2 linked regions of the Tamandua tetradactyla genome follow. The protein of the gene in region 2 binds, or shares a complex with, the protein of the main gene of each other region. Links are inferred from orthologs where the notes say so. Each region holds a gene or a part of one and is shown on either strand. Other genes may lie near its edges. The genes, in order: VASP and PFN2.

The links.
Region 1: the proteins of PFN2 (region 2) and VASP are in contact, whole or in part, in a crystal structure (PDB 2V8C), measured with the Mus musculus proteins. The link is inferred for Tamandua tetradactyla from reciprocal best matches to the Homo sapiens genes PFN2 and VASP. Residues at the interface, in NP_062283.1 of Mus musculus: Gly3, Trp4, Ser6, Tyr7, Asn10, Cys13, Tyr30, Trp32, Met131, Tyr134, Ser138, Phe140; in NP_033525.2 of Mus musculus: Gly165, Pro166, Pro167, Pro168, Pro169, Pro170, Gly171, Pro172, Pro173, Pro174, Pro175, Pro176.

The regions. Positions count from the first base shown.
Region 1 is NC_135342.1:15,505,429-15,520,660, reverse strand, and holds the start of VASP (vasodilator-stimulated phosphoprotein), read left to right. Parts: upstream 1-7,686; 5' UTR 7,687-8,036; coding exon 8,037-8,041; intron 8,042-9,809; exon of another isoform or gene 9,810-9,962; intron 9,963-14,803; coding exon 14,804-14,975; intron 14,976-15,056; coding exon 15,057-15,222; intron 15,223-15,232. Other genes in the region: RTN2 (reticulon-2), read right to left, coding at 442-475. UniProt on the Homo sapiens protein: Ena/VASP proteins are actin-associated proteins involved in a range of processes dependent on cytoskeleton remodeling and cell polarity such as axon guidance, lamellipodial and filopodial dynamics, platelet activation and cell migration.
Region 2 is NC_135331.1:43,204,610-43,220,761, forward strand, and holds PFN2 (profilin-2), read right to left. Parts: upstream 8,095-16,152; 5' UTR 8,014-8,094; coding exon 7,882-8,013; intron 5,784-7,881; coding exon 5,591-5,783; intron 3,762-5,590; coding exon of another isoform or gene 3,664-3,761; exon of another isoform or gene 3,438-3,663; coding exon 3,340-3,437; 3' UTR 2,071-3,339; downstream 1-2,070. UniProt on the Homo sapiens protein: Binds to actin and affects the structure of the cytoskeleton. At high concentrations, profilin prevents the polymerization of actin, whereas it enhances it at low concentrations. By binding to PIP2, it inhibits the formation of IP3 and DG.

The sequences.
Region 1 (15,232 bases), on a different chromosome or scaffold from region 2:
GGTCCAGGTTGCCTCCAAGTCTGGGCCCAAAAGGAAGGTGGGATGCGAAGACAGGAGGTGGGGGATAGACACCTCACCCCCATCCTGACTCTACCGCTCCACTCCACACCTTCTTCCCTCCGGCTGCGGCCAGCACCAGGGAGATGGGACAGCTCCCCGCGCTGGTCCTCAAGCCCCGGCAGGGTCCGGAAGCACATCCCAGCGCCAGTGCGCCCCACGCCAGCTTTTCAGGTTCCCACCTCCGCCCCGTCTCACCCAGGTCCTCCGGGTCAGGCCGCCCCCACCGCCGCCAGAGCGCGGGGGGAGGGGAGCGCTTCCTTTGTCTCCTTCGTCTCCTTCCCCCATCCCAGCTCTCCCGGGGCCGCGCGCGGAGAGGATACCAAGGAGGGCCCCACCCGGGCCTCCGGGCCCCACACCAGGCCCGAGCCTCGCTCTACTCACTGCAGTGGGCGAAGACCGGCAGGACCTGCCCCATGGCCCCCCTCGGGCCTGCATCGGGACCCCCGCCCACTCCGGCCGCGCCGCCCTGGGCCCAGGGCCGCGAGCGCTCATCTCCGTCGCGCCCACGCCGCAGCCTCCATCCTCTTCCTTTTCTTGGACCGCTCCAGCCGCCGCCGCCGCCGCCCTCTGTACGGCGCGGCTGGGGCGGGCGGGGCAGCGGTGGGGAAAGGCACTGCAGCGCGGGGACCGTGGGCGGAGCCAGAGAAACAGGAGGGGCGGAGCCGGTGGGCGGGCGAGGGGGCGGGGAAGCACCGAGGCGCGTTAGGGTTGAGGGTGTGGTGGGGGGCGGGGAAAGCGCGGGAGGGGGAAGGACGAAGGGCTGTGTCTTGACTTTAGGGGGCGTGCCTTTGGGGGTCCGAAGCTGGGGTAGGTTGAGGGCTGGGAGAGAGAAAGAGGAAGGAGCCTAGGCAAAGAGAATGGAGGAGTGCACCTCAGAGTGGGCTGGGGCGCTAGGGGCAACACCGATAAATTGATGGAAAGGTTCTAATAATCGGAGGTAGGCTCCGAACCGAGATTAGCAGAGGGAGTGGAGCCAGGGAAAGGAAGAGGTAAGAAACTACTCAGTTTCGAGGCAAAGACAAAGAGGAGGAGCTAAAAGATGGGAGGAGCTACGCCAATTTAGAATATTCAGATAATTGGGCGGGGTCATGCCTGAGAAGTCAGAGCAGAGGCCGGGCTGAGAGGGAATAGGAAAGAAAACGGAAGGGAGGGGACCCGAATGTGGACTTAACCTGGAGAGAGGAGGCCCCCTGAGACAAGCCAGAGTATGGGGGCTGGGCCTGGGGTTAAGAGGCGGGGGTAGAGACGGGGCTAGCATTGCAAAATTAGAGGGGGTCTGAGGCCCTAGAATTGAATGGACAGACTAGACCCGGAAAGAAACAAGAGGTCAGAAGGGAGGGATCTAACCAAAAAAGTCAGGGATTTTTGAAGTTGGGGGCGGCATCGCTGAGGCGGGAGGAGTTTGAATAGAACAGGGCTGGGGATCAGAAGCCAAAAGCGTGTTGTGGTTAACAGCACGGATTCTAGAATTCGATTCCCGATGACACCAAGTCATCGGCTATGAGTTGGTGTTTCTTTATGACTCTTGTCTCTTCTCTAAATTGAAAACAATGATGTAAAATAGTGTGTGGCACATTGTAAGTGTTAGACCATCGTTTTCTATTATTGTGGCTTTCCTGACCCAGATCCCAAAGCCAGCCCGCTTTGAAGATGCGGGAGAGCAGAGTTCCTTCAAGCAACTCGACTTGAAGTACAGGTCAGGGGCATAGGAAGGGAATTTAGGTGCTTTAAAATCTCATAACAGAGCGAATTAATGGCGGGGGTGGGACGGTTAGGTGGGGACAGCTGTAGAGGATGATCCCACCAGAGAAGGATGGCGGCCCTCACCCGCCTGCAGGAGGGTCTCCTCTGGCCAGCTCCCAAGGAAGAGGAGGAGACGGAGCGCAGCACACCGGGCGGGCCTCAGTCCCTCTAGGCGGCGCCGCGTTGCGCTCAGCGGCTACATGGGGGTGTGGCGGCGGCGTGGGGCCTGCGCTTCGAGGAGAGCGCTGAGCAGGGCTGGAGCGCGCTCATGGAGGATGCGCAGTGCGCTTGGCTAGCACTGCCCGAGCTGCCTCCTGGCTGGGCCTTCTTTGCGGTCTGGACCGCCACCGCGGGGCGCGAGCCGCCCTTTTTGGCGCTCGCCGCCTGTCGGGCCACGTGCACGAAGCGCTGGGCCCGGCGCCCTGGGAGCCAGAGATGTGCTCCCAGCGGTGCGCCGCGCCTTCCTGAGCGCGGACGCGCGCTTGCGTGGGCTCTGGCCCCGCGGCGAGCCGGGCGGCTCCACCGCCTAAGCGCTGTTGGTTTCCCGGCGCTTCCTGTATCTGGCGCACTGCGGTGACTCCCGCGCGGAAGTGAACCGTGCCGGCGCCCTGGTCTTCAGCACCAAGGACTATCAGCCCATCCAACCCCGAGAGCGCGAGCGCATCCACGACGCGGGCTGCACCGTCTGCCGCCGGCGCCTAGAGGGCTTTCTTGCCGTGTCGCGAGCGCTGGGCGACTTTGCCTACAAGGAGGCTCCAGGGAGGCCCCCCGAACTGCAACTCGTGTCCGCGGAGCCCGAGGTGGCCGCCTTGGCCCGCCAGACAGAGGACGGCGTATGGGACGTTATATATGTCAGAGCCCTGGCAGAACTGGTGGCCTCGCCTCCGCTTGGGCCTGGCGCCGGAGCTTCTCTGCGCGCAGCTGTTGGCACGTGTCTGTGCAAGGTCCTGGGGGTAGAGTGTGGAGGGGACGGCATTTGGGATAAATGGGGCTTGGCGCTGGGAGGAGGGGTTTTTCTAGAAAGCAGGAGAAAAACTAGAGGAGCGGTGGAATTTCACTAAAGGGCGTGGCCTGTTGGAAAGGGGCAGAGCCAAATTACGCCGAGGAGAGAGCGTGAGGGATGCCTTGAATTTGGATGGGAGAGTAGTGGGGTTTAGATTGGTTAGTGAGAGAGATTTAAGAGAAAGCGTGGTCTTTTGGAAAGGGGAGAAGCAGGGATGGAGGGCGGGGCCTGAGAAATGATGGGTACCTGATGAAGGAAGAGCAGTTGGACTGCAAAGTGGGTGGAGCTCCGGGGAAAGGGCGTGGCCCTCTGCTACAGGGCGGGACTAGGACAGCTAGACAGTGCTGAAAGGTTCTGGTAGAAGGAGACCCGCAGATACCCGGGCCTTCAGCGAAATGGGGATCACGGATTCGGGAGGAGGGCCCAGAACAGCAGGACTGTAAGGAAGGCGGAGACCCGGCCTGGGGTTTTCAACCCTCTCCCGCCGGGCTCCCTTTTCTTCTCTACCTTCGCCAGGGCAGCCTGGATAACAAGACCTGCATCCTCGTTTGCTTCCCGGGGGCGTCCGGGCCTTGTGAGGAGGCGATCCGGGTGGAGCTAGCGCTGTACACCGCCCTGGGACACAGGGTCGCGGGTGAGTTAGCTCCGGGAGCCCAATGGGAGGGAAGGTCGGCAAACAGGGGTTCCCCCATTACTCTCATCTCCCTCTCAGAGCTGTGCACCCTTGCCCAGGAGACCCCCAGCCTGAACACGATTTTCAGGACTCTGGCCTCGGAGGACATCCTGGATTTACCCCCCAGGGGGAGGGCTGGACTGTAAGTGAGTGGAGGTGGGTTGGGGAGGGGTTTGGGGGAGGGGTAGTAGGTGGAGGGTCCCCTCCTGAGGGCCTCCCCCTGCTCCCCAGGGCCACTGTGATCGCTGAAGCATATGCTCAGATCTGTCACTCAGAAGAGTGCTGGGAGGTAAGGCCCCTGTGTTCTTGAATGTTTCTCTTAGTCCCTCTCTCCCCTTTAGAGATGGGGAAAGTGAGGCCACAGAGGAAAAGCAACTTGCCTGCTCTATTAGTAAATTCCTACCCCTGACCCGGAAGCACTTTGCCTCAAAGTGGCATAACAATGGGCTACAGAAGAGAAAGAACTTCCCTTCCAAAAAATACACCTCCTGGAAATGCTCTGTAAAGCCCCATCATCCCAGGCACAGCCCCCTGGAATGTCTTATCCCCTAGGAATAAGATAAATTCTGGAAATGGTAACAAGGACCCCAAGGCCTGGGGTGCCCTGCAGAGACTATCAAGATGACATCCTGAGGATGGATGACCCAGGTCTCCAATGGCTAGAGGAGAGGTGGCACGGTGGGGTGTGTGGGGCATCAGGGAGGAAATGAAAGGGGGGGAAGCTGGAAATCACATCCCAGAGGACTTTGCATGATTGGGGGAGGGCATCTGGTTTTTTGTTCTTCAGACAAAGGGGGATTGTTGATGGGTTTTCAGTAGCCAAGGATGGTATTGGTCACGATTGTTTGATTTGTGAATGATAGAAACCCAAGGCAACCAGGGTAAAGCAAACAGGAAATTTACTGGGTCACACACAAAACTGGAAAGCTCAGGAACTTAAGGTGGCTGGAGCCATTTCTCAGATGATCTCATCAGGGACCCATCTCTTAGCTCTCTGTTCTGAGGTAGTAGAGAGCTGCAGCACATCCCACCAGCTTACACTCGTGGTGGAGAGAGTGGGCCTGTTTCCCAGAAGTTCTAGCAATCCTCCCAGAGCTGGTTCTCATTGACCAAACTGGGCCACATGCATGACTGGTTACTATGCCTCTTACTGTGTCACGTGCCCAACCTAGCACTGGGGATTGGGGTCCTCTCCACCCAAACCTGATTGATTGAGAGATGGGAAAGGGTGGCCCTTCAAAGGAAAAGAGGGTGCTGCTTCCAGAAGACAGGCAAGTGGAGGCTGAGAAGGCAGGAAAGGGTTCCTATTCACTGTCTCCCACATTTTGTGTTACAGCTGGGACAGAGCAGGGCTGGGGAGCCGACCAGCACCCATCAGGCTCTGCCTTGGGTCTGGAGGCCTGACAGCTGTCATCCTTTGGAGACTCTCCACCCAGCTGGGGCCTCAACGGAACTAAGGAAGAAAACCGCTCCCTTCCCCAGCTACATGGACCAACGGAAGAGAGACAGGCTGATGGAAGAACCCCAGAATGCTTATTTCCCTCTCTCCTAGTTCCCCATCAATGAAAAGTCAGTTCAATAACCTTCCCTTTCCTTCCCATTCTTCCTGTGGTTTTGAGGGGAGGGTAGAAGGGCAGTTTTTTTTTTTCTTTATTATTAAATTTTAATTACAGAGGCAATTCAAAATGCATTTTTTTTCTTGTAGAAAACAAACATCATTTACGCAGTCACTTGGCAAATATGCATTGGCCATACATATTTGTGAGTCCTTGCTCACACCATGAAGAAGGTAGATCCACCGAGCCCTACTCCTGGGGACCTCCTGGGGGGGAGGGGGAGGTGGGACAGCAAACAGGCGTGCCAAATAAATAAGGTCATCTCAGACACTGATGAGTGTCATGGGGAAAATAAAACAAGGTGGTGTGATAAAAAGGCTAGGGGAGCTACTTTGGTTGTTTAAATTGGTATTCATCTATTTCCTCAATGGGTAATACATTCACTTAGTTTGAAATTCAGAAGGTGCAAAATGGCATAGTGTGAGAAGTCTGATGGAAAAGGAGCCAGATATGCGAACAGCCCAGGGAATGGTATTCCAAGGTTCAGGTAACAGCCAATGCAGAGGCTGGCATTTTGGAGATAAGGTTTGGGATCTCTGTGACTACCAAGGACCCCATAATCCCATCCGTATTTCCAAGGGTAAACTACAGTCATGAGTCAGGAGTGAACTTTTCCAGGTTTTTCATTCTGCCTGTAAACATATGTACATGTACTCTAGCAAATATATGATACCTTTGGTGTTTCCTTGCTTGGTTTCAGACTGTATCACTTGGCAACTTACTTTTCCCACTTGACAATATGTTGGAGACTTTTTCCATGTTATTGCACGCATTCTTTTAGCGGCTGTACAGTGCTTCAGAGAAGATGTGCAATGGTTTAGCTATCTCTCTTCCTGTTGCTGGACATTTAGGCTATTTCCAATTCCTTGCCCTAAGAGCATTGCTGCCACAAAGATCAGGCTCCTTGTGTTTATAAGCAAAGATTTCTCCAGTGCAGGAGTCTTGCTCCCCATTTTGTATGACACTTGAGCTAAGAATGCTTTTTATATTTCTACACAGTTGTTTGAAAAATAATAATAATATGCAAAAGAGATCTCATGTGAACCACAAAGCTCAAATATTTACTATATTAGACCTTTATAGAAAAAGTTGGCTGACCCCAGAAGTGCCACCCTTCCCATTTCACAGATGGAAAAGTTGAGACCCAGAGAAAAGACTTGCCAAAGTCACACAGAACTGGGGTTCTCATTCAGTTGGATAAATGTTTGTTTGCCCCAGCTCAGACCTTGCTGGGCTGGGTGAGGCCCAGAAGTCGATCAAGTCTACCCCTGCCCCCAAAGAACTCACAGCCCCAGGAAACACAGTTACACACAATTACAATCTAGGTGCTTCAGGGCTCAAGGTCCCCAGGGCAGCTGGAGGAGGGGACGAGGTTACTCGATTCCCCAGAGAAGAATCAAAGTAATAGCTTGGTCTAGAAGGGTGAGCCCCTAGGTGACGGACCCGACTGCATCCTAGCCTAGCTTGGACAAGGGCTGGGAAGGTTGATTTCCTCACCTGCTCTGTTGGGCCACGAGAATTTTGGTTTCACAATCACACCTCGGCTTTTGCAAGCGGGCCATAATCCAAATTTGTCCCTTCCTCCGGGCCTCAGTTTACCCGTTTGTTAAGGTCGAACTCCCGATTTGCCAGACGCCAGCCCTCCGGCTAAGGCACTTCACGCGGGCCAGGGGGCGCTCTTTGGAGGGTGTGGTCACATCGGTGACGTCACTCGGGGCGGGGCCTGCGGGACCCGCTGCGGAAGCCTAGGACTGTGTTTGAGCTCAGCCCGGGGCCGGCGCATTGGAGAGGGAGGTCTCAGGAACCGGCACCCGGGAGGATCTCCCGACCTCTGGGCTCTCCCGGCTGCTGGGATGATCCGTCTGTCCTCTGCGAGCGAAACTGAATCAGGGCGGGGTGTACCTGTGGAAAGGGCCAAAGGCCGGAGTCCCAGCCCGAGCCAGGGCCGGCGTCGGCCCCCACCCCACCCCCGCCCGCCTCGCCAACCACTCAACTCTACCCCCACCCCCGACCCTGCGGCTGTGAGTCAGCGACCGGCCGCGCCCCCTCGGCCCACTTCCTCCTCATCTTCCTCCCGCGGGCGAGGCGGGCGGGGGGCGGTGAGAGGGGCGGGGCCCTGCCCACCCGTCCCCTTCCTGCGCGGGGATCGGGGGGCACCCCTCAGTAACCCCTTATAGCTTGGCAGTGAAGACAAGAGATGCTGAGGGTCCTAAGGTGGCGTTTCAGGACGAAAATGTGAGGAAGTCACATTTTCCTTAACAGAGGGTTCTGCTTCCTTCTCCCCCACCCCCAAAATTGAGCCTAAGATAAAGAAATGGGGAGATCGATGGGGGGAGGGTGAGAAGGAAGAAATCGTGCCCCCATTTAGATCCCCCTAAGAAGTCCTATCCTGGGGGAGAACTACGGAACAAGGAAGGACCCTTTCCCTCCACCTAGCATCACCCCAATTTGGGGGTGACCCCCAGAGTGCATCCCTGTGCAATAACTTCGGGGCAGAGGGAAATAGCGGAAGTGGAGGGTCTACGTTGCCCTTTTAAGCGCCCTCCACCCCTCCCCTCTCCGCCTCGCGGTGGCCGCGGCCCCTTTAAGGCGCGGGGCATTGTGGGTGCGGGGAGTGGAATTTTGGAACGAAATGTAGCGAAGAGAAGTACAGTAGTAAGAGTAACGTTGTAGCCGCTGCCCGCCCGGGGGGCGCGCCGGGGAGGGCACGCCGCACCCGCTTTCTGCTTCAGGGACCCCCATCAAACCCCCAAGGGAAGGAGGCGCCCGAGGACCCGCCCCATCCCGGTCCACGTTCCCCCCAGGAAGCCGGACTCTATGGGGCGGGACCCTGGGGGAGACTGAGCAGAACGTGGAGCCAGCCCCGAACCCCTGAACCTCCAGCCAGGGGCGCCCCGGGAGTCCCCAGCCGGTGGGCGCGCCACCCGCCAGCCGAGCAGCCATGAGGTGAGCAGTGAACTGCCTCCGACCTTCCCCGCCCTGCGCGGGCTCCCCGCCCCGCCTTTGTCCCCCCTCCCCCAGCTCTCTCCGGGATGCAATTTGGGGACCCGGCACTGGGAGCCTCAGATTTGGAGCCGAACCCCTTTGGACGAGCTCCAAGTTATGGTCAGTTCCCCATGACTTCCAAGACTCGGTGTGGTGCCGGTGAGGTTCTCTCTTAGGAGCACTCAGATTTGGGGGCTCTCCGAATTTTAGATTTCCTCCCGGGATCTCCAAGTTGGCAGATTCTCCCTGCACGGATACCCAGAATTTAGGCAGGGCGTAGAGTCTCCCCCGAACCTCAACTTGAAGTCTGGGAGGGATTGTGGGGGGCTGGGTTGGGGGATCCGGGGTCTCGGAAGAGAGGCTAAGACATAGAGCCCGGTTACTGGGGTTCCTCTTTACTTGGTGCTGGAAAAAGTCTCCCCAAGTGGAAACGCGCTCCCTAACTTCAGGGTACTTCTTAATCCCTTGCATTTTGGGGGGGCGGGGCGGGAGGACATTCAGAACCTCCTGTGGAGAGGAGGTTGGTGCGGATGGACGGACCCGGATGCAGCCTCGAGGGTCTGGTTGGGACTCCCCTTTCCCGTCCCTCTCGGTCCAGAATCGTTCCGTGCCCTAGACGGAGCGAGCGCCGAGGGCGGCTCCCGGGCTTGGGGCCAGAAGGGCGGTCCCTCTCCCCCACCTGCGCGGCTCTGGGGAAGGAGGGGCGTCGCGGCAGCTGGGGGACGGGGGCCTTTGTCTTCCTGACTCACCTGTCGAGACAGCTGGTGTGGGGGGCGGGCTAGAAGCGCCCTGGGCCGGCTGCTTTCCCCACCCCGACCCCTCCCTCGTCACCCGTAACCCTCCTCCTGCCAGGCTCTCGGGAGCTATGAGGTTGGTGGGGGGGTGCAAGAAAGCTTCAAGGTCATAGCCCTCTCCCCCTGGGACCCAGGCTTGCCAGATAGTTCCAGCTGTCTTCTTAGGAATTTAATCCTGGGATGGGGGTGGCCCAAGGGATCCAGAGATTTTGTTTTACCAGCCCCCACCCCCCCAAAAAAAGTCCTGAACTCACCTGACGCCGGGAACTGGGGCGGGCTGCCCAGACTAGCCCACCATACTCTCCACCTCCCCCCCTGCCCCCGGCCCCCCATCCTAATTCCCTTGGGGCTGCAGCCTGACAATACTATCTCCCTTCCTCCAAGCTCTCAGAGACTTCCTGCCCCAAAGCCCCCAGCCTGAGGGGGAGGCCCCTGGGGACAGCTGGGGATTAACCCCCGGGTGCCCACACACTCCCATTTCCCCCACACTCCTGCCCTCTGACATCGGGGTGGCATTCCTGTTTATGACCATTAGGGCCGCCCCCTCCGGTTTGAGCCTTCTGATGGGAAAGGGATGGTTTGGAGCCAGGGGGGGCACCCATTGACACCCTCAAGGCTTCCTGCCTATCCTTCCCCACCCCCCACCCCCAGTGACATCCATGTCCCCTCTAGGTCTGCCCAGGATGGGGGGAAGGGTACGGTGTGCAGTAGCTAGGCTCTCTTCACCCTCTTCCCCCGGGACTCCCCTCTCCCACTGCCCCCAGCCCCACCCCCACCCGCGCGTTTCCGGTCCCAGGCACCGAGGAAGGCGGATGGCGGATGTCCGAGTTAGTGCTGCCTCACTCGCTGCGAGACCGTAAAAGGGCAGGAGCAGCAGCAGCAGCGCCCGGGCCGGGCCTCTGCCCCCCCCACCCCACCCCTGGCCCTCCCAAAGGGGCCCCCTCCTGCTGGGGCTGTGGCCAAACCTCTCGCCTGCTGGGGGTGGGGTGGAGTGGCAGGCCGAAGTTGAAGAGGGTCACTCCTACTTCCTGAGGGGTCTCCTCTGCAGGCCACTAAATCCACCTTCTTGGGCTGTACCTCTTCTGCAGGTACAGCTGGGATTCCAGACCCAGGTCCCTAACCCCAGCTGGGGAAACTGAGGCACAGAGAGACAGGCCTGGCTCAAGGTCACTCTGCAAATCCTAGGCAATTGGTAGGGGTGGGGCGGTGGGTGGGGTGGGGTGCTGGGGTCCATTCCTCAGATTTCTGGGTTGTTTGCCTGGGTTCACTTGTGGGGGCAGCTGGAAGGGAGGATGTTAAAATGGAAAATTACAAGATAAATTGCTTTTTCTCCCAGTTTGACAAATATTTGTCGAATGTCTGCTGTGTACCGTACTCTGAGCTGGGATTCTGGGAGGGCCAGAAAGGGGGAACAGAGTTCTGAGCATCTGGGGTGGAAGGAACTCAGGAAGAAATCGCATTCATTTTGTTCCTTTTCCAATAGTGGTAATTATTATTATTTTTATGAATTAAAAAGAAGGGCCTTTGATCACACATCTGCTTTGTGCTAGGTACTGTACTAGGTGCCTGATTCTTCTTAATCCTCACAAAAGTCCTAAGAGCTTGGCACTTTTACGACCCTCTCACCCCAGTTTATAGATGGGAAAACTGAGAAACTGAGAAGCTAAGCAAATTGCCTGTGGAAGTTAAACTGTTTGGAAGTGGCCAAGCAGAGTTTGAATCCAGGGCTGTCTGTCTCCCAACTATCATGTTATTAAAGAAAGGGGAAAATAAAACCTTTATTTATTAAGTACAAATAACCCACTTTCACTATAGGAACACTTAAGATAATACAGATAAATAAAAAGAAATGGGCAGGAAACTTTACCTTCCTGTTCACTTGTGGGAAACTGAGGGCCATGGGGGAAGGGAGACTAGAATGAAGACACAAGCCCCACAGGCAGGGCTGGGACTCCCGATCTGGTTTCCTACCCCAGGTTGCCTCAACTCCAGGAAGATTTGCGGTTTGGGAAGCTTTTGTGTATGGGGGAGGGAGGGCAGGAGGAGGGGGTGTCACAAGTTTTATGACATAAGGAGGCTATGGGGTAAGTCTTGGGCAGGGGATAAAGGGAAGAGCAGGACTCTAGTCTGGAAAGTTTGAGTAAACCTGAGTCTCTGTGCTTGATTACCTCCAATGATTAGGAAGCTCTTTCCCTCCCGTTCCAACTCCCAATTCTCTTGTGTGGAGGGTGTGCTGTGTTCTAGGCCCTGTGTGGAGGGTTTTTGCCCATTACCTTTTTCTTTTTTTACATGGGCAGGCACTGGGAATTGAACATGGTCTCTGGCATAGCAGGTGAGAACTCTGCATGCTGAGCTACCATGGCCCGCCCCCCATGACCTGTTTTAATCCTCATTACAAGTACAATGAATTATGGTTTCCGGGACTGGAAACCATAATTTTCTGAGGTTCCGAGAGGTGAAGCCATACAACAGGGAGGTAACTTGAATCTTTCTGCATCCACCCAGTGCTAGAGTTTTTCAAAATGTGACTTCTGGCGGGGGTGGGGGGGTGGGGGCAGGTCCTGGTCACCCCAGGGGTTAAGGCTCTTCCATGTCGCCACATCGAGGGGTGTGAGACCACTGGAGCCAGGTGGATCCTGCCTGCTTTTATCTCGCCACCACTACCGCCCCCCCGCCCCCCACTTCCTGGCTGTACGATTTTCTGTTTTGCCTTTAACCAGTATATAGAGTTTTAGCTTTTTACACTTAAGTAACGACTTACTTTAAACAGGTAATACCAGCCCAAGGTAGCATAATCATCAAGCAGTTCAAATGGGTAAAGAGTGCAAAATACCTGTTTCCTCCCTCCCCAGGGCCCCAAGCTCCTTCTCAGAAGGCAGCCACAGTTCATCTCCTGCGAAGCAGCCTCTGCGTATATCACCACTCTGCAGAAGTATTTATATCTCCCCACCTTTTTTTTAAACCTCTGATACACACCACTTTGTATCTTGCCTTTTAGAAATTGTAACTTGGCTGTTTTCTCACCTATAAATGAGGTTAAGAACTTGGGTGGATGTGCATTCAAATCCTAGCCCCTCTGCTTACTTGCTCTGTGGCCTGGGGAAGGTGTCTTCACCTCTCTGTGCCCACATTTCTTCATCTGTCAAGAGGGTATAACGTCAGAGCTGAGCTCCTGAGGTGGTTGTGAGGTTCAGTAGGGAAATCAGAGCCTAGGGTCTAGAACAGTGTCTGGGACCCAGTCAAACTGAAAAATGGCAGCTGACGTGAAGAACTTTTCCAGTTATTTAACAGACGTGTTTATGTAACTACTAGGTGCTGTGTGCTATTCTAGGTCCTGGGGCACAGCAGTGGACAAAAGGGACAAATGTGGACCTGGCATTCTGGTGGGAGAGGGAATTAGTAAACAGAAATACCATATCAAATAAGGATGGCTACTATGAAGAAACGTACAGCTGGGGTGAGAGAGGAGAGTATCCATTCTAGACAGGGTAGTCAGGGGGGCTTCTCAGAAGAGGCGGCATCTAAACAGAAACCCGAAGGAGAGGGAAATCTAGGCTTGAGGAAGAACAAGTCCATAGGCCCTGAGGCAGGAGTGTATCCGGCATGTTGAAGGAGCAGCACAGAGGCCAGTGGGACTGGCCTAGAGCAAGCCAGTGTGGGGGGCAGATCAAAAAGATATGGGGGTAGGGAGGCAACAGAGTGCACAGGCAGTGGTTCCTCTGCAGGAGCCAGGAGACCGTCAGGGGTACTTTTGAGAAGAGGAGGGATATAATGGGATTTGTATTTTCACAGGATCCCTCTGTGCTGATGGGGACACACTGACTTGGCGAGGACAGGAGCAGTCCCCGGGTCCCGCAGCAGGCGCCCAGCTCTCCGGCCAAGCCAGAGACTCAGCAGAGCAGGGCCCCCTGGGAGAGCAAAGTGCAGTCAGGGTGGGGCCATGCCAGCAGCCCTGGGCATCTGGCCAGTCTGCCCTGGGCGTGGGTGGCAGGTGTGGGCGAGGCCATAGCCCTGCCAGGGGCATTGCAGAAATGGCCCCCGAGGCTGTGCTTGTCATGAAGCAGCACCTGGTGAGGGGTAGGGATCCTGCAGTTCCTGGTAGTTTATACACTGTGGCCTTGGAAACCCAGGAGCCTGGGTTCAAATCCTTCTGTACTCACTAGCTGTGTGGTTTGGGCAAGTCACTCAGCCTCTCTGGGCCCCAGTTTGCAGTCCACACCTGCAAAATGAGGGCAGAATAATAGTGCTCACTTCAGTGAGAATGACATGAGTGGTTCTGGGTAAAGGGTTTAGAAGCCTGAAGCACTTAAGAAGAGGGAACTGCCACAATTATGTAAACTTGGTGTGAGGGGTCAGCTGCCGACCAAATGACCTGGTTTTGGTTCTATTGAGGGTCTGTCCCTGCCCTGTTCCTGGGGGCTGGGGCTGGGGAGGGAGGCCTTTCACAGCCATGGCACCCCAGGGCACCCTGTACGCACCCTCCCTCAACAGAGCCATTATAGGGGTATAATTTTTCTCCCCTGAAACCTCCAACCACCAACTTCCTCTTTTCAGGAAAAAACCTGTGGGGGTGGGGCGGGGGCCAGAGCTTCCCCTTGGTCTGTGTGTGACTTTGGGCAAGTCACTTCCCCAGCGAGTTTCCTCACTGGGGGGAGGGGAGGATTGAACTTCCCTGCAGAGACTGGTGGGGGGTCCCAGGGATGCAGGTGCCTGTCCAGGATGTGCCAGGAGTGACTCGCCCCCACTGTGCCTGGGAATGGGACTGTCGCAGGACTGTCACCTCCCTAGTGTGCAAGGCAGGGGAGATGCCTTCCAGAGTGGGAGGGGCGCTTGCCTGAGTCACAGGGAAGAGGTGGCTCAGTAGAGGTTTGAACTCAGATGTAGTGGACATCAGCTCCTGAACTCTGCACCGCTGGCAGTTTACTGTGCCCTCCCTGCAAGGCTGAGTCAAACACCGCCTTGTCCAGGAAGCCCTCCCTGACTCCCAGATTGGGGCAAGCGCCTCCTCTGGGCTCTCCAGACTCCCCCAAGTTGTCCGTGTCTGGGCACGGCTCTTTCTCCCACACTGGACTGTGAGCCCCAAGAAGGTGGGAGCAGGGCTGTCGTGTTCACTGCCATGTTGTCCCCAGCATGGGCCTGACATGGACAAGAGGCTCAGGTAGTATCTGCTGAATGGCTCTTAGGGTGCTGGAGGGCCCTTTGAATGAGGTAGGCAGTGGGAACCTGACTTCCTCTGGGGGAGATCATCCCTGACTTGCTAAGGACCTCACCCCCTTTGCCCTGCTCAGCCCCAGCTTCCTCCTCTGATGAGTGGAGACCAAGGAGGGGCCAGGCACCCCAGAGCAGATAAGGAAACTGAGGTCCCAAGAGCTGCCCAGGGCTCCTGCCCCCAACCACACCACTCTCCTTTTCCTGTGGGTTCCATTATCTGCATCTCTCTCCAACTCTGTGTCTGTCTTGGTCTCTCTGCTCATCTCCCTGTCTTTCTCCATCTCTGTCTCCCCATCTTTATCTCGGTGTGTCTGGCTCTTTCTCCAACCCCCTGCCTGTTCATCTGGTTTCCCCCCATCCCTCCCCTGTCCATGTTTCAGTCTGTCTCTCCCCCCTCTCTCCCTGTTTGTCTGTCTGTCTCTACCTCTCCCTGTCTCTTTCTCACCATCTGTCTCCCTCCTTCCTGTTCCGTTTTGTCTCTTTATTTCTCTCTTTTCATCTGTTTTCTTCTCCCAGTCTCTGTCTATCCCTTGGTCTGTTCTGTGGCTGTGTGAGGGCCTCCCCATCTGCCCCTCTACCCTTGCCTGTGTGTGTGTGTGTCCGTGTCCTCCTCCTACACTTTCTCTTGCAGTCTTGCAGGGAGACCCAGAGGGAGAAGGTGAGTGGCCCCATGGCTAACTGGCCCCTGGCCCTTCTCCCCCTGCCCCCTTCCCGGCAGTGAGATGGTCATCTGCTCCAGCCGGGCCACCGTGATGCTCTACGATGACAGCAACAAGCGATGGCTGCCTGCCGGCACGGGCCCCCAGGCCTTCAGCCGCGTGCAGATCTACCACAACCCCACAGCCAATTCCTTCCGCGTCGTTGGCCGAAAGATGCAGCCTGACCAGCAGGTGAAGCCGCCTTCCCTCCCCTGGGGCCACCGCCCCCTGCCCCCGACCCCCACCCCTCACCCTGCCGTCCCCTCCTACCAGGTGGTCATCAACTGTGCCATCGTCCGGGGTGTCAAGTATAACCAGGCCACCCCCAACTTCCATCAGTGGCGCGATGCCCGCCAGGTCTGGGGCCTCAACTTTGGGAGCAAAGAGGACGCAGCACAGTTCGCCACGGGCATGGCCAGTGCCCTAGAGGCCCTGGAAGGTTAGAAATG
Region 2 (16,152 bases):
TAGCTCTTACAATAATAACATACCCTAAAACCAAACATTTTAAAATAAAAAAAGTCACACAAGTCATGGTAACGTATATCCACATTATAAAATGTATTCCCTGTCCTTAATCCCTAATTCAAATCAAGCTCCTAATGCCTTTTAAACTGAGGCAAAAATTACTTGATATTTCAAACTATTACTTTAGGTTGTAAAAAAAAAAAAAATTATATGCAGCCCTGGTTAGATTAGTTCTCTTAATATGCACTTAAAATCTTTTATAATTTCTTCATGAAAAAACTATCAGCTTTTTGAATAGGGTATTTCAATTTCTATTTTTTTTTAAAACTTAAATTAAGATTTCCAGATTATAAAAGTAATATTATTAAAATATTAGAAATCAAAAATACAGTCACCTGGAACCTTTATCCCAGGCATAAACTCAAAAATATAGTCACCTGGGACCTTTATCCCAGGCATAAACTCAAAAATCAGTCACCTGGAACCTTTATCCCAGGCATAAACATCTTGATATGGTACCTTCAGAAATATGTAAAATACATATTATTATTTTATACTATTTATATTTACATTATGTGTAAAATCTGTTTATATCCTCATATTATTTAACATTCAATGGTTAACATTTTCTGCTATCATTCTTAGGTGACTTTTAATTTTTGCATGGGCAGGCACCAGGAATCAAACCTGGGTCTCTGGCACTTCAGCGACTGTTTTATCCTTATGGATGGATTTACAATCATTCAACCTATACTTCTCCAATTTGAACCTTGTAAAGTTTGCCAAGTTTGGTTATTATAAGTAATTACTTATATACATACAGTGGACCTGTGTCTTTTAATTCCCTATTTGCGTCCCCCTACCCACTACCTCACCTACTTATTAGGTTAGTTAAGGATTTCACAACTTTGGTCACTGCCTATAATTAACCACCCTAATAATTCTTCACAAATGAAATATGAATGTGTATTACTGTAACATCTCAAATCATCACAACCCAACAGCCAAATTTTCATTTGTCCACCCTTCTGTCCCCAACAGAGATCTTAACAGGTCAACAAACTGATAGCAGGTTTTTCTTGATGATGTTTTATGATTTCTGGGATACGCCCAACTACTAAAATAGCCCCAAATCCTGTCTTCCATACTTTTACATCTTCATATGTAGTCAGATTCATGACTACTAATGCCTGACAACACTGGTAAAGAAAAACTTTTAGTTATTCTTCATATAAGTACGGCAAGGATATTACTACTTATTCCCTAAACCAGTTTCTCAAAGGATAGTCTTTGAGAAACAAGCCATGGAAATCCGAGTGACCTGGAGATTGTTTCTCAAAAGCAACTCCCTGGGGCCTAAGGAATCTTCATCTCCGAGGGGATCCTCAGAACCCACCTCCCCAGTTTTGATTAGACCCACTGACTTTTCAGCACCTTTGCTGAGCTTCTGGCTTGACAGCTCATGATAATGACTTATTTAAAGAATATTAAACTTCACATAGTTTCTAAACTTCAATGCATCCCAGGGTACAGCCATCAGTTAACATGCCACTCCAAAATCAGGAACCGCAGAAGCATCCCAATGCTCTTATATGCTCCCTAGGGAATGTCTTCTGCTCCTATGTAGGAAAATACCAGCTGGCTGACCCCAGCCTGCCAACACAGCCTCCAAGTCTAAAGTCAAAAGATGTTTCAACACAGAAGGATCCACAACTGAGCAGAAACCCTTCTTGGTTCTTGGGCCCTTTCACCACCCAGATTTCACTGGAGACCAGCCTCAAGAGGAAAATACTTATTTTCAATAAAATAAGTCAGTTTTCCTCTAATAAGCCTGAATATGAGCCTGAAATCACTGGAAGTCATTTTTAATAGATCAATGCCCATCAGAAATTCCTAGGCACTAATTTTATTTATAATAGATACTACCTGAAATGAAGTAGGCCATCAACTAAATTTTCAATTGTTAAGATTTTGTAGCTATAGCAAACTTTGGCCTATTTTGTATATTTCCACTATGTCAAAAATCAACTGTAACAGTAAGTTAATTTATATAAACAACAAGAGTCTAGATTATTTGGTTGGAATAAATTTATTTCATCTGTCTGTAAACAAGGTGTTTAATAGTTATGGCATTTTTTTAAATGCATATTAAATCAGATGAGTTAGACTGTATCCCAGATGTAACAAAGTGCAGGGAAAGAAATGGACAAATCAGCAACAAGATTTGTTTTTAAATCTGTACATTATCCACAAGGCCCAAACAATGAAAGCAAATACTAGAATATCCCTAAAGTAGTGCCATTCGAAAGAAATCCTCAGTAAGTCAGTTAAAATCCATCTCACAATAGCAACAGTTCATTTTAACAATAGTATGGCACAGAATACATGTGGGAAAAAAAAGTCATCACAAGACAGCCAAGTCCACAATAATGCAACTTCATATAAAAACTTAAGCTGCAAATAAAAATTGGTCCTATGAATAACAAACTGGACACACTCCAGATGGTTATGTTGGGACACCTAATGTCCATAATGGCAGCCTTTTACAATTTTACTAAAGAGTAGAGCTGGTGTGCAAAGAAAAAGACAGGAACCAAAAATCTGAGCTACTGTAATGATGGAATGTCCCTGGGGATTCAATCAGTATGTTTTACTGTAAAGTCATGGGAGGAAGTGCCTTTTGCTCTTGTTTTGCAGTTGTACTCTTCATATGTCCTATGGATACTATGAAAAAGTTTGTCTCTAACTCAAGTGCAACAACAATACTAAAAGCAAACTACTGCAGCTCTCAGTAGCTCATCAACAAAAAGGGTATTAATTGGTTAAATAAACCAGGCACTGCTAAGATAAGATGAAAGCAAACCAAATACTTTATGTGCAAAGGGAGGGGTGGGAAAAGAGAGGAGTAAGGAAAGATGCATGCACTTTTTCCTCCCAATCATGCGCTACAAAAGGAAGACTAAGTGAGCCAAGTAAAAGCTCAAAGTGCTGAAGACACTGATCAAATTAGAGATTGTACACTGGCACCTTGCTTAATATTAACTTATTTTAGTAATCAATATCCCATTAATTGCTAATACAAAATGATGCCCAACTTGGCATGCCCCCTCCCCCCAAATTTCAAGGTATCATGCAAATCATTATTGTGCTGCAATTATGTTGCCAGATAAGGGTTGGTTACATACAGTGATTAACATACAGATGATCCATTGGGCAAACAGGAATCATGACATTTCAAAATTGGTAAAGAAAAATTAGCCACCATCTATAGTCTGGTAGCACTGTGAACATAATTGGGTGGTGATGAAGACAGTTGCTAGGTAGATGGGGAGAGGCTGCTTACACATCAGACCTCCTCAGGTATAAAGCGAGTTCATATGCTTTCTTGTTAAGTGTGCCTCCGTGGACACCTTCCTTTCCCATGACTATAACCAATGCTGGAGTACACAAGGAAACAAAACAAAAGTGAACAGAATTATTTAAGGGGGGGGAGGGCAGAAAGAAAGACACCTTTCCCCACCAACAGAGGGATACAAAGGAGACACAGGTTCATACCCCATCACCCTGCATTGCTAATAAAGTTTCCAGAATTAAGACTCAAGCTTACAGCTAGGAAAGTTTAAGAGCAATTTTCCCCTAATACTTAAACAGTCTGCCTAGCAGCTAGAACCCAGAGTCTCTCAAGTATTTTGCCATTGAGTATGCCTTCTTATTCAATCCGCCTCCATGGACCCCTTCTTTTCCCATTACAAAGACCAAGACTGAAAGAGAAAGAAGAAAAGTGTTTCAAAAGAAGTGTTAATCAAGAAAAGTCACTTAAGTTTTAGCAGACAGAACCCAGTTTAATAAGTTAACATTAAGTTAGTTTTCCATGAACTGTCAAGCACTGAAGTCAATTAGGTCTCCAAAAAAAGATAATTTTAAAGCTAGTAATAATATGCTAAAAACAGACCAACAGTAAACCCTGGCTGTATCCTGGAAGTCTAATCAATGCAGCTGCAGAGCTCTACACAACTATCTGTACACTAGCTAGAAAAAAAAAAAAAAAGCCTGATCACTTTATCTTCAATTCTAGGGGAAAAAACATCTGGCTGATGTGGCACAAATATTAGCCACAGAAAAATAAACTTTAAAAAGTTACAGAAATTATATATTTACAAAATGTTTCCAAAATCTGAAATGCTTGATAAGTACAAACTATTAAGATTCATCAGTGAGGCTAAATGTGCCTATCACTTCCAGAGGAAAAATGAGACCAAATTTCAAATAGCCTTTTCAGTGTCATTTTGAAAGGAACAAATTACAAGTATTTAAAGCTTGTATACCTCCTGATATCCTAACTGTGCTAGCTTTGTTTTTAGCTGTCTAAAATACTGAAACAGGTTTACTACTTGTAACAACAGTTCACTATTTGTCACAACAGGTTCTTCTAGGATGCAATTCAGTTTCTCCCCAAAATGTCTGTATATGTCAAATTTTATATTCACTGCCGCTAGATGTCAGTAGTGTTATGTGGTACGTAAATCTCGGGGTTTAATGACACATGGTTGATACTTTTTTGCATTTGCCTGAGCTCAGCTAATGTTTAGAGATCTACTATTCAGAATCACCTAATCTTTCCATACAGAAACATTCATAAATATCAACTCCCACAGATTAAGCGTAACCTTTTGGACAACCATAGGGAGTCAGCAAAACCACAGCATTAAATTACAGCTCAGGACTACTTCAAATCCCTTCACATACCAGATCTGGTCTTAATATTGGATGTGCTAAGTTTGTTACCTGAGATGACAGAAACCCTCTTGATTTACACAATATTTACAAAGGTTAACACATTTAAATGTATTTGTAAATAAATCAGATGCCAGGATAAGCCTCAATTTCTAGAAAGTTTCTTTCAAAAGAGCAGTAAAAGAATCCTTTAGTGAATTAAGACTTTCTGCGATTTTGACATCAGGAGCACCAGAACTGGGGACCAATTAAACAAATTAAATGTTATTTCCTATACTTTATAAGTGTAAACCTCAGAAACATAATCTTTGAAAATATTTTACTAACAATTTTAAATATTTTAGTGAATGGGACAATTTCCTCCAAAACCATCATGCTAATTATCTCTCTCCCCAGGAAAAGAAAAGTGAACCAATTTTAATTTTTCCTTCTCTATTCTTAGTGAAAAGATTAAAATGCAAGCAAGAAAGAGAAGGAAGAGTTCCAAATATCAGAGAATTGAACTAAATTAAACAAATGATGTACAATTTAACAATCTGGATATACCACAGGATTATCACTCCACATGTCAAGCAGTTTAATGAGAAAAATTTAGATTTTAAGTTTGTAAAGCTGAAAATGAAAAAACTGATATGATACTCTGTTTTAGATTAAAGTCATAATCAGAGTCTAGGATCTATGTGCAGCTGCATACAGTAAATAAATGAAAGTAGTGCCTCCCTTCAGTGCTGGGCAGTTCTCAAAAACCACCTTAATAGCCATTATGGACTAACATCTTCATTCAAAATGTTAAAGAAACTGCTCAATAAGTTGTAATGTGGCATGCAATTTTTAACTAAAAGAGCACTTTGCTTACCTCTACCAGCTCTGCCTACCGCAACGTTGTATGTTGGCTCTCCACCTTGACTTTTTGTCCGGATGTCCATTGTGCAGTCACCATCGACATATAGACTATCTCTGATCACTGAGCACTTCTTTGCACCAAGAGTCAAACCATTGGTAAAGAAACCTTCCCGGTCTTTTCCTACAATCATATCTATTTCTATTGGCTGCCCCCAAAAAAAGAAAGAAGAAAAAGAAAAAAAAAACACATGAAGTTATAGTTAATTCCTTTCAGGTCTCAATATAACAGGAAAGATTGTACGCCAAGTTTGTACTACCACCACTATAAGACACTTCACGAATCTAAAATCAAGATTCAGTCTCAGTATTTTCCAAAAAAATTGTATTTGAATAATATTTCATGTCAGTTGTTCTGATTTCACTATTAACAGTAGTCTGCTAATTAAAAATCAACCTTTACAAAAAATTTCTCTAAATAGTTGGTAGTTGGACACTAGACAAATTGCAAACTTGAGTTATTTATAAACTGTGTCAAGTGGTGCCTGAAGGTGCTTATCTAATAGTAAAGATTCAGCTATAAACTCTTTCAACAACAGCTTGTCTATCATATTAGTAACATCACAATGTTGCTGCACCACACTTAAAAGTTGTTTGAAAGCCTGCCTAAATTAGGCCCCTGCTCTAGCAAATATGTTCCCTTTTCTACTCTGGATAGCTGGAAATATTCCCTAGGGTATGAACTTTAACAATCAGACCTCAGTGCATTTTCCAAATTCCTATTTCCTTCATCCCTTTTTTTTCTAACTACTACTCTTTGTTTCCAGTATCCCTTCCCATTTTAGTAATCAGTTTACTCTCTGGACAAAAGCAAAGAGGATTCTATGTGTAACACTGCAGTAGGCAATGGTAAAGGAATAGAGAAAATGGAGGGAGACTGGGAAAGAAACTGAGGTAGCCATCAGAACCGGAAAGGAGAAAGCATGCATTCTAAAATTCCATGAATAAGAAGGAAGGCGTCGCCCCCATCAGAACTGCAGAGTCATAGCAGGCCCCAGCCATTTCCAAGCACACTCCCGCAATCTTTCCAGCCATACAGCGGGAACTCGCACACAAAGACAAGAAGACTGTAGAGAAAAAGTTGATCATCAGATGCCAATTGTCTTTAATTGTAGCCCACAAAGGGTACAGGAGACCTGCAAGTACTACCATGAAGGACCGAGTTTTGTACCATTAAATCTTAAACCGTGTTAAGTAGTAAAGGGATAATTAGTAGCACCAATCTTAGTGTTTGGTGGGAAGAGAGAGTGGGACTAAGAAATTAGAGAATGGGCTCGTAATTCAATTTCACAATTTGAGATAGAGCCTTGGGCAGAAATAGGCAAAACAATAAGCAGCGCTGGAGGCCCGGTGACTAAATATGTCCCAAACATGTGGCAACCAAGTCAAAGCCATCAAGTCACAACAAAACCGCACTGTGAAGCATAAATCTGCATTAGTTCCTTTAATACCATCACTAAGGAGGGAGGGGCTTGGAGAAGTGAAGTGTCACCGGTCTTCCCAGATTATCAAAAACCCTAAATGCATCCCCTTTTTAGAGCTATGTTGCGTAACTGGAGATAACGGTATATCGATAAATCTCCACAGGAGGAGAGAAATCAATGGCAGTTCGCCATCTTGGAGAATTAAAAAAAAAAAAAAAAATCCCACAGTGCCAGAGCCGAAGTCGAGATTCACGAATCCACCTACGTGGTTGGCGTACATTTCTCTCAAGCCCCGGAGGCCTGGACACCAGCACATCTACGCAAAGCCGCTTCGAGAATCCCGGGGGCCGGGCCGCCTCCTCCAGCCCCGCTGCGCGGGAGGAGCACTGTCGGTACGGCGCGGTGGCCCTACGGCCCGAGGACCCCCACCCGCACCCTGAGCTCCCAGGCCCAGAACCCCCGGACCCCGTGTCCACCCTGGGACAGGCAAAGCAAACCCCGGACTTCCAGAGGTTCTGGGGAGCCGCAGAGAGCAGATAAAACACCCCCGCCCGCCCGGGGCGACCCCTCCCCCCAGCCGGGCACCCACAGCTGCACCGGGGACGCGGGGGACGCCGGGCCCCGGCAGGCGCGGGCAGTGGGGAGCCCGGCCGCCTCCTCCGACTGTCAGGGCAGCCCAGGCGAGGGGGCGTCCCCTGGCTCTGGCCTCGGCGCCCGCCTCCTCGCACACCTGCCGGCGTGGCCCTTCCTGCCTAGCCCCGGGCTGCGGCGCGGTCGGCCGGCGGGGCCGGGGATGGGGTCCGGGCCGCCCGCGGGTCCTCACCGTAATGCTCTGGAAGACGCCCCCGGCTGTGGCTGCCCAGACGTATTTGGCGTCGCAGTAGCCGACAATGGCGGCCTCCTGGCAGCAGCCATCACACATCAGGTTATCCACGTAGCTCTGCCAACCGGCCATCTTCGAGCCCTTCGCACTGCAGCGGGGACGGCGAGGAGCAGCAGGCGCAGCGGCGGCTGTGGCGGGCGGCGGCAGCGCGGGAGGAGGCGGGGCGGGGGCGGGGAGGAGGCGGCTCTGCGCAAGTACCGACCGCCCCCCTCCCCGAGGAGCTGCGGCGGGAGGACGCGGGGCCGGCAAGGAGAGGCAGCCGCCGAGAGCGCCCGGGCCAGTTGTCCACCCGCAGCCGCGAGGCCGGCTAACCAACGGCGGGAGACTGCGGAGCTGCGCTGCCCACAGCGGCGGCGATAGCGACGGCGGCTTCTCTTCAGCGCGGCACCTTTAGCTCGCCGCGGCCGGCGGAGCGTGCGCGCGTGTGCGTGTGATCCTTCCGCGGCGCCCGGACACGGAGGGTCCCGGGAAGGGAGGGGGGAGGGGCGCGGCGGGGCGCGGAGGGATACCGCTCTGGGACAATCACGGTTGCCACGTGCGAGAAGCGCTGTCTGGGAATTGCTGGGTGCCTGGGGGCGGCTGAGCCTTGGACCCGGGCGGCGGGGAGGGCGTCGCCCCCATCGCCCTCGGCGTCCTGGCGACCGCGGCGGCGGTAGGGATGTCTCGGAGTCTCCTCTGTGTTGCACCTCTTCTCTCCTTCGCCCGAAGTCTGGGATGCCGAGGTCGCGAGCCTGGGGGTCGGATCGCAGGGTTGTCGTGGTGACGGGATGCCGAGCGCTTCCCCGCCCAGTGGTGGGGGCGGCCGCCGGCAGGTAGCCCCCCAGCTTATCCCAGGCGCCCCCGTGGAACTCCTCTCTCGCAAACGCCTCTGTCCGTGGGCCGTAAAAACGACCCAGCGGGCGCGCTTCGGGGAGCTGCGATCCGAGCGGACGTTGGTGGCTGTGCGGATCCCGCCTTGTTGCCTCCTGTGGGCACAAGGAGCCGCGCGCTCTGTGGATTCTCTGCGGGGAAGAGCCCCTCGTCGCCCGTCACGTGTGGTGTGTGACTAAACACCTCCAAACCTCGAGCAGAACAAACAGCTTCCTGTGCAAACTGGTAGAAACTAGGAGAGTTACTGATGAGCTGAAGAGGTCGCCGAAAATACAAAGAACACAAATCTAGGGAAGGTTTCCCTGAATGAACACCGTGGCATGTCTGCTCCTGAAGGGTGAAGTGGCTTCGGGACCCGGGTCTGGGGAAGGCTCGTGTGTAAGGGTTGCTGGCGGGTGATCTGGGTGCCGCCGCACAGCGAATTCAGGGACCCCCGGGCGCCGCGGCCGGACGCCCCCAGCAGTGACCTCAGTCTCAGGGTGTGCCGTCTGCCGGTCATGGGGCGGAGGACGTGCCTTTAGAGCCCTGAGAATTGATAGTCATCTTTAGTGTCATCGTGTAGGGTCACAATCTGACAGGACTTCGAGACTGTGGCTCAGTTAGGAAAGGTGCTAAAGCAGTGTCATTGATTCTGGGGTTTTGTGTTTTTCTCCTTTGAAATGCACAGCTACCAAAGGGAGGGAGGAGGAAAAACGCACACCGGGAGAGCCCCAAGTCAGGGACCTGGCAGGCTGGAACAATTATTTTTCTCTTGCTTTGACGACACAGTATCTAAATGGTATAAAATTGTGCCCCGAATGTCATTTCTGTACGTGTGCCTCTCGCCTGAGTTAGTTACATATAATCGGTTCTTTTTAGTACTCTGCATTTTGTGGTGGTGGTTGATGGTGTTAATCCTTCACTCAGCATTTTATTGTCTTAAAAGTTTTGATAGTTTCAGGGTGCTGATGACACGGATATGTTGTTCACTTCGTGAAAATTCATCAGGCTGTATTTTTATGATTTGCTCACCTTTTTCTATGTACATTATGATTCAGAAAATTTAAACAGTAAGCAAAAAAGGTAACAATGGAAAAGAAAAATGAGTGATGACGGTTTAAAGAGGTGTATTGAAATTGGGTTTTGTTTAGTGCTGTATTCTGAATTCTTAAGGTTTCGTTTCTGGGCTTTGTTATCCTCTTGTTATAGCAAAAAGTTGGAAATAATGGCATTCCGTTCCCCTTTTTTATTGTTGGCTTTAAAACAGCATAAGAATTAGATCAACTGAATTAATACTCTCAAGTCTCAAAAGATTCTAAAACATATCTATTGGATAAAATATTCATAAAAGTTTAGAGTTCCAATCTTTATTTTTCCTGTATTTTTCAAGATGTAACAATATTTTTAAAATTACTGTTTTACTTTTCCAACATAGTGTTATTATTTTCAGGATGGCGTACAAGTAAAATTTAAGCAACTATGAAAAATATATTTCCTACCATAGACTAGCCGGATTTTTACAGTTTTTTTTTTTTTATATATATATATTCAGAAGGGGCCCCTTTACTGTCTCTGTTTTCAATACTGTGATTAAACAATCCTGTGCCTGTTTTCCTTGGAGCCACAGTTTTTCTTTCTGGTATCCTTTCTTATTTTTCACTTCTATACGATGATGGGTTTCCTATTTCATGTAACTGTTGCTTACCTCAACATGTTTCAAAAAGTATGGATATAGAGGTAGAATACTGAGTCTTAAGAAGATAGGTAAACTGAAGTTACTAATAAGGAGAAAAGAGGAATTACTGACTTTCTCTACTCTTTTCGAGGTAACTGGTTCCTAGAGCACTAACAGCAATGTCTGGGCAGAAGCTGAGAAAAGTCCTGGCTCTCCTAATCCAGATTCTGGGAATGATACAGCAATCAGCATGTTTAAATTTGAAGGGTGTTATACTTTCTTCCCAAAGTTATTTTATTCTTATTTAGTAAGACAAAAGCTGTGTAGTAAACCAGATTCTACAATGTGTAAGTCAAGTAGTGCCTGAGCCATTTAAATCCATAAGTAAATCATTTGACATTTTAGCAAAACACAAAGAAACAAGTTGTTACTATTAAAATATACTCAAAGTTGTAAAGGATGGAGTAAGAACTAAAACTGCAGAATGTAATTATCCAAAACCTAGTAAGACTATAATTAATTTACCTCAAATCTTTAACTACATTTTTCACGTCCATACTTCAGTTTTTGAAAAAGTGCTTTAATTACAAAAGTAAAAAAAAAAATGAAGTTTTAAAAATGAAGAAAAACCACCCTTATTCCCACAATAAAAATGCTATCTTGTGAGTGTATTCATTCATTGTTTTAATTATGATTTTTATAGTAAAGCCCAAGGAGTACCCATCATTCTAGATTTGTCCATTTTACCCTAAAATTCTGTGCATTCTTGCATTCTATACTTTGGGGCTACTTGATTAGGGACATACAAGTTAAAATTGTTATAGGAATTTAGAATTATCGTTAAGTAAGGACCCTCTTTATCACTAATACTTCTTTTGTCTTAAAATCTGTTTTGTCAAATATTGATGTGAGTATCCCAGTTCTCTTTTTATTGCCATTTATGTGGTATGCCCCCCCACTCCACCTTTTTTTTTAACTCTCAGATTTTCCCTGTCGTTAAATTTTAGATGTTGTGAATTTCACATAGCTGGATTTTTACTTTTTATCTAATTTGACATTTACAATCATCGTGATTATGGACATATATTTGGACTTGTTTGGAGAAACTTTATTTGTCCCGCTATTTCTATGTTTATTTCTTTTCCTTTCCTTTTTAAAAATTGACATTGTGTGTGCGTGTATCTTTTTTCATCTACTCATTTGGAATTTATATGTAATATTCATTCATTGTTACCCTTGAAATTTTGCCATGCATATTTAATAGAACAAAGCTTAATTTTAATTAATATGTTAAACCCTCCCACTAGACAGTCTAAAGGTTTTAAAATCTAGCTCCCTCTCTCCAAACTATTATTATTTTGAACAGATTTTTGTTTATGGCTGTATTTATACATTTATGTTTGCTATTTTACTTAATTACCATTCTTTCTCATAGACCATTATGTTACCATTTTACTTCTTCCTGACACATATCTTTTAGAAGTTCCTTTAATGGAATTTTCTTGGTGTTATCTTAATTTGCCAAGCTGCTATGACAAATACCACACAATGAGTTGGTTTAAACAAAAGCATTATCAGCTCACAGTTTCAGAGGTCCTAAGTCCAAAATTGAGTCATTGGTAAGGCCATTCTTTCTCCCCACTGTCGATAGTGTTCTGCCTCTGGCTTGCCACGAGTCTTGGGGTTGCTAGACTTGGATTTCTGTCTCCTGTCACCTGGTGATCTCTTTCTCCTTGAGTTTGCTCTTCTGGTTTCCTCTGAATTTCTGCTTCTGACTCCTCTGGCTCACTGCATCCAAATTTCTTCTGCTTATGAAGGGCTGGTAATGTGGATTAAGTAATATGCTGATTCAGTTGGGCCACACCTTACCTAATGACATGTCTTCAGAGGGTCCTATTACAAATGAATTCATACTCATGAGTACACAGATTAAGAACATGTCTTTTGGGGATATGTAATTCAGTCTCTGCAGTGGTAAACTCTGATTTTGCTTATCTGAAAACGTCTTTCATTCTTGAAATATTACTTTCATTCTTGACAAATAGGTTGGATCTACAGTGTTAGACTGACACTCTGAAGATATTCTATTTTCTTATCATTTTCATCATTGCTACTATTCTTTTAAGTATGATCTGTCCTCTCTAGCTACATTTGAAATCTACTCTTGTCTTTGCTGCTCTATAGTTTCACTTTGATGTTTCTAGGTCTGGATCTCTTTTATTCTACTTGAGAAAGTAGATTTATACCTATCATCACTTCTGAAAATTCTCTGTCATTATCTCTTCAAAATACTCCTTTTCCTATTCTGTTCTCCTCTCTTAGGGCTCAGAATAATTTTTTTTCTTCTGTTTTCTGTGTCTTTTAGTTTCTTTCATATTTTCCATCTTCTTGCCTCTTGTGCTGCATTCTGGATAATTTTTTCAGTTATATGTTCCAGTTCAATCTTCAACTATGTTTAACCTGTTGTTAAACTCCTGCATTAAGACTTTTTGATTTCTAAAAATATATTTTTCATTTTTAGAAGTTCCATTTGATTTTTATGTATATCTTTCTCATCATTCCTGATAGTCTTTTATTTTTTGCCCGTCTTTGTGGTTCCATATTTTATTTCTTTAAACATTTCTTACCTAGTTATTCTATGTCCTTATCTGGCAATTCAAATATCTAAATAGTTTGTTTCTTATCCCACCCACAGTGGCTTACCTGCTTAAATACTTTATGATCTTAGATTGTGAATTTACATTTGTTTGATCTTAATGTGTGAAAAATTGTAATAGCCTAAATTGTGGATGCTTTCTTTCAAGGATGATTTGTATCTGCTTCTGCTATGTCCCAAGGATTGTTAACAACCTGGGACTACTTTAATCTCTTTTGATGGTACCCCCTAAATACAGGAGCATCTGGTTCAGCTCCCCACCGCAGAGCTGCTATTGACATTTGCACTTGGGACAACTCCATTTCTCCAACCTGCTCACACACCCCTTGTGCTGGTTTGGAACTGTTATGTACTTCAGAAAAGCCATGTTCTTTTAATCCTAATCCAGTTGTGTGGGGGTAGACCGATTGTTTGGGTGTGACCTTTTGAATAGGTTATTTCCATGGACTAGTGACCCTACCATTCAAGATGGGCCTTAATTAGTTTACTGGAGTCCTTAAAAGAGCTCATGGAGAGAAAGAAATCTCAAATCCAATACAAAAATCAGACACCTAGACACACATGTTTGGAGATGCAGACAGAAATACTCTGGGCACTAAAATTAATAGCTAGAACTTGGAGAGGGCCAACACAGAGAACAGAGAGAGTGAACCAAGTGACTAAGAGATGCTAAGCTAAGAGACAAAACTTAGAGTTGCCCTGTGGAAGCTAAGGACCCACAGATCCTTAGAGAGAAAGCTACTGGAATCAGAACCACTTGAAACCAGAAGCCAGGAGAGAAGGACAGCAGACATTGCCATGTGAAAGAAAAACTCAGATGACATCAGTCTTTCTTCAGAGTGAAGGTATCTTTTACTGAATGCCTTAGTTTGGACATTTTCATGCCTTAGAACTAACTGTAAATCTGTAACTTAATAAATGCCCTTTGTAAAAGCCAATCCATTTTTGGTATATTGCATTCTGGCAATATTAGCAAACTGAAACATCCCTGCTCCAGTTTTTGCTCAAGGTTTCTAATTCTTAAGAACCAAGAAAAACATTTAAATAAGTTTTTAGTCCAGTTATCTAATTGTTTTTGCAGAAGGAAGATTCCTCTATATTGCCTAGTCCACTATAATGCAAGAAGCAGAAAACCTACCCACAATTCTGTATCTTGCATGTTTTATTCAATAACTACAAACTGAGCATACATTACAGGCTTGGGCACTGGTTGGTGCTTTTTACTGGCACAAGTAACGTGGGAAGATGAGCAACTTTAAGAAGGGAACTATTTAGCTGATTTTGGACACTGAGTTTTCAGTAGTTGTGAGACATCTAAGTGACAATGTTCATCAGACAGTTAGATATGCAGCCCTGTACTTTAGAAGTAACATTTGGATTGCAGATAACTTCTCAGGAATGAGCAAAGGAAGAAGAGTTTACAATGGAAATTGAATATGAGTACTCAGAAATCAGGAGCGTGTAGGATCATGGATGACAAGGAAGGGAATTTTTCCAAATGATAGGAATGGTCAAAAGTAGCAAATTATACTGAGTAGTCAGATAAGAGGAGGATTGAAAGATGATCATTGGATTAGCAAAGGGACACTTACGGAACTTGGCAAGCACAGCTTTAGGTGAATGATGGGAAAGTAAACCGAATTGCAATAGGTGAACGAAAATATATAGAAGGCAAGAGGAGCTGAGACTTGCCTCTTTGAAGTATTTAGACACTAAAGGGGAGAATAACAGGGAGGTAAAAGTTAGGGAGGGACATATGAGTAAGAGAGAATGCTGTGTTAAACATGGTAAAGGTTGAAGGGATGGCACTAGTAGAGAAGTAGGAAAGTAGAATAAATCATCGCTCAGGGCTCAGGGATAGTAGGAAAGCCTGAGATCCAAAGCACAGGATAGGACTGGCCTTACACAAAAGATGACACCTTCATTATAATAGGAGTATATAGATTTAATTTTTCTTTTTGTTTTAGCATAGCATACATGCAGAAAAGTGAGCCAGTTTTCACAAAATGAACTCCCACAGTTAATCAGCTTCCAGATGAAGAAATAGGACAATATCAGTGCCCTTTCTATTTTTTTCTTTGTTAGAAAAGTTGTATAAGATACAGGATTCCCATACACCCACACCATCAACACCTTGCATGGGTGTGGAACATTTGTTACAATTGATGAAAGCACATTTCTATAATTGTATTATTAGTTAAAATCCGTGGTTTAACTTAGGGTTCACTCTTTGTGTAGTGTAGTTCCATTAATTTTTTTAAAAATTTTATCCTGTTGCCATATATACAAGCTGACATTTTCCCTTTTAATCATATTCAGATATATATTTCAGTGCTGTTAATTGCATTCACAATGCTGTGCTACCATCACCACCATCCATTACCAAAACATTTCCATCATTCCAAACAGGAGCCCTTTATATTTCAAGCCTCCGCTTCCCATTTCCTATCCCCACCCCATTACCTGGTAACCTTTATTCTAGATTCTGACTCTATGAGTTTGCTTATTCTGATTGTTTTAAATCAGTGAGATCTTACAATATTTGTCCTCTTGCATCTGGTTTATTTCACTCAACATGATGTCTTCAGTGCTCATCCAGGTTGTCACAGGCATTAGGACTCCTTTCCTTTTTAATACCTGAATAACATTCTGTTGTATGTATATATCACATTTTATTTACCCATTCTTCAGTTGATGGACACTTGGGCTGCTTCCATCTTTTGACAACTGCGAATAATGCCACTGTGAGCATCATTGTGTAAATACCTGTCCAAGTCCCCGCTTTCAATTATTTTGGATATATAACTAGTAGTTCGATTGCCAGGTCATGTGGTAGTTCTACACTTAGCTTTCTGAGGAACTGCCAAACTGTCTTCCACAACAGTTGCACATTTTACATTGCCACCAGCGATGATTGATGTTCCTATTTCTCTGCATCTTCTCCAACGTTCACTTACCTTTTTTTAAAATTAGCAGCCATTATAATGGCTGTGAAATGGCATCTCATTCTGTTTTTGATTTGCGTTTCCCT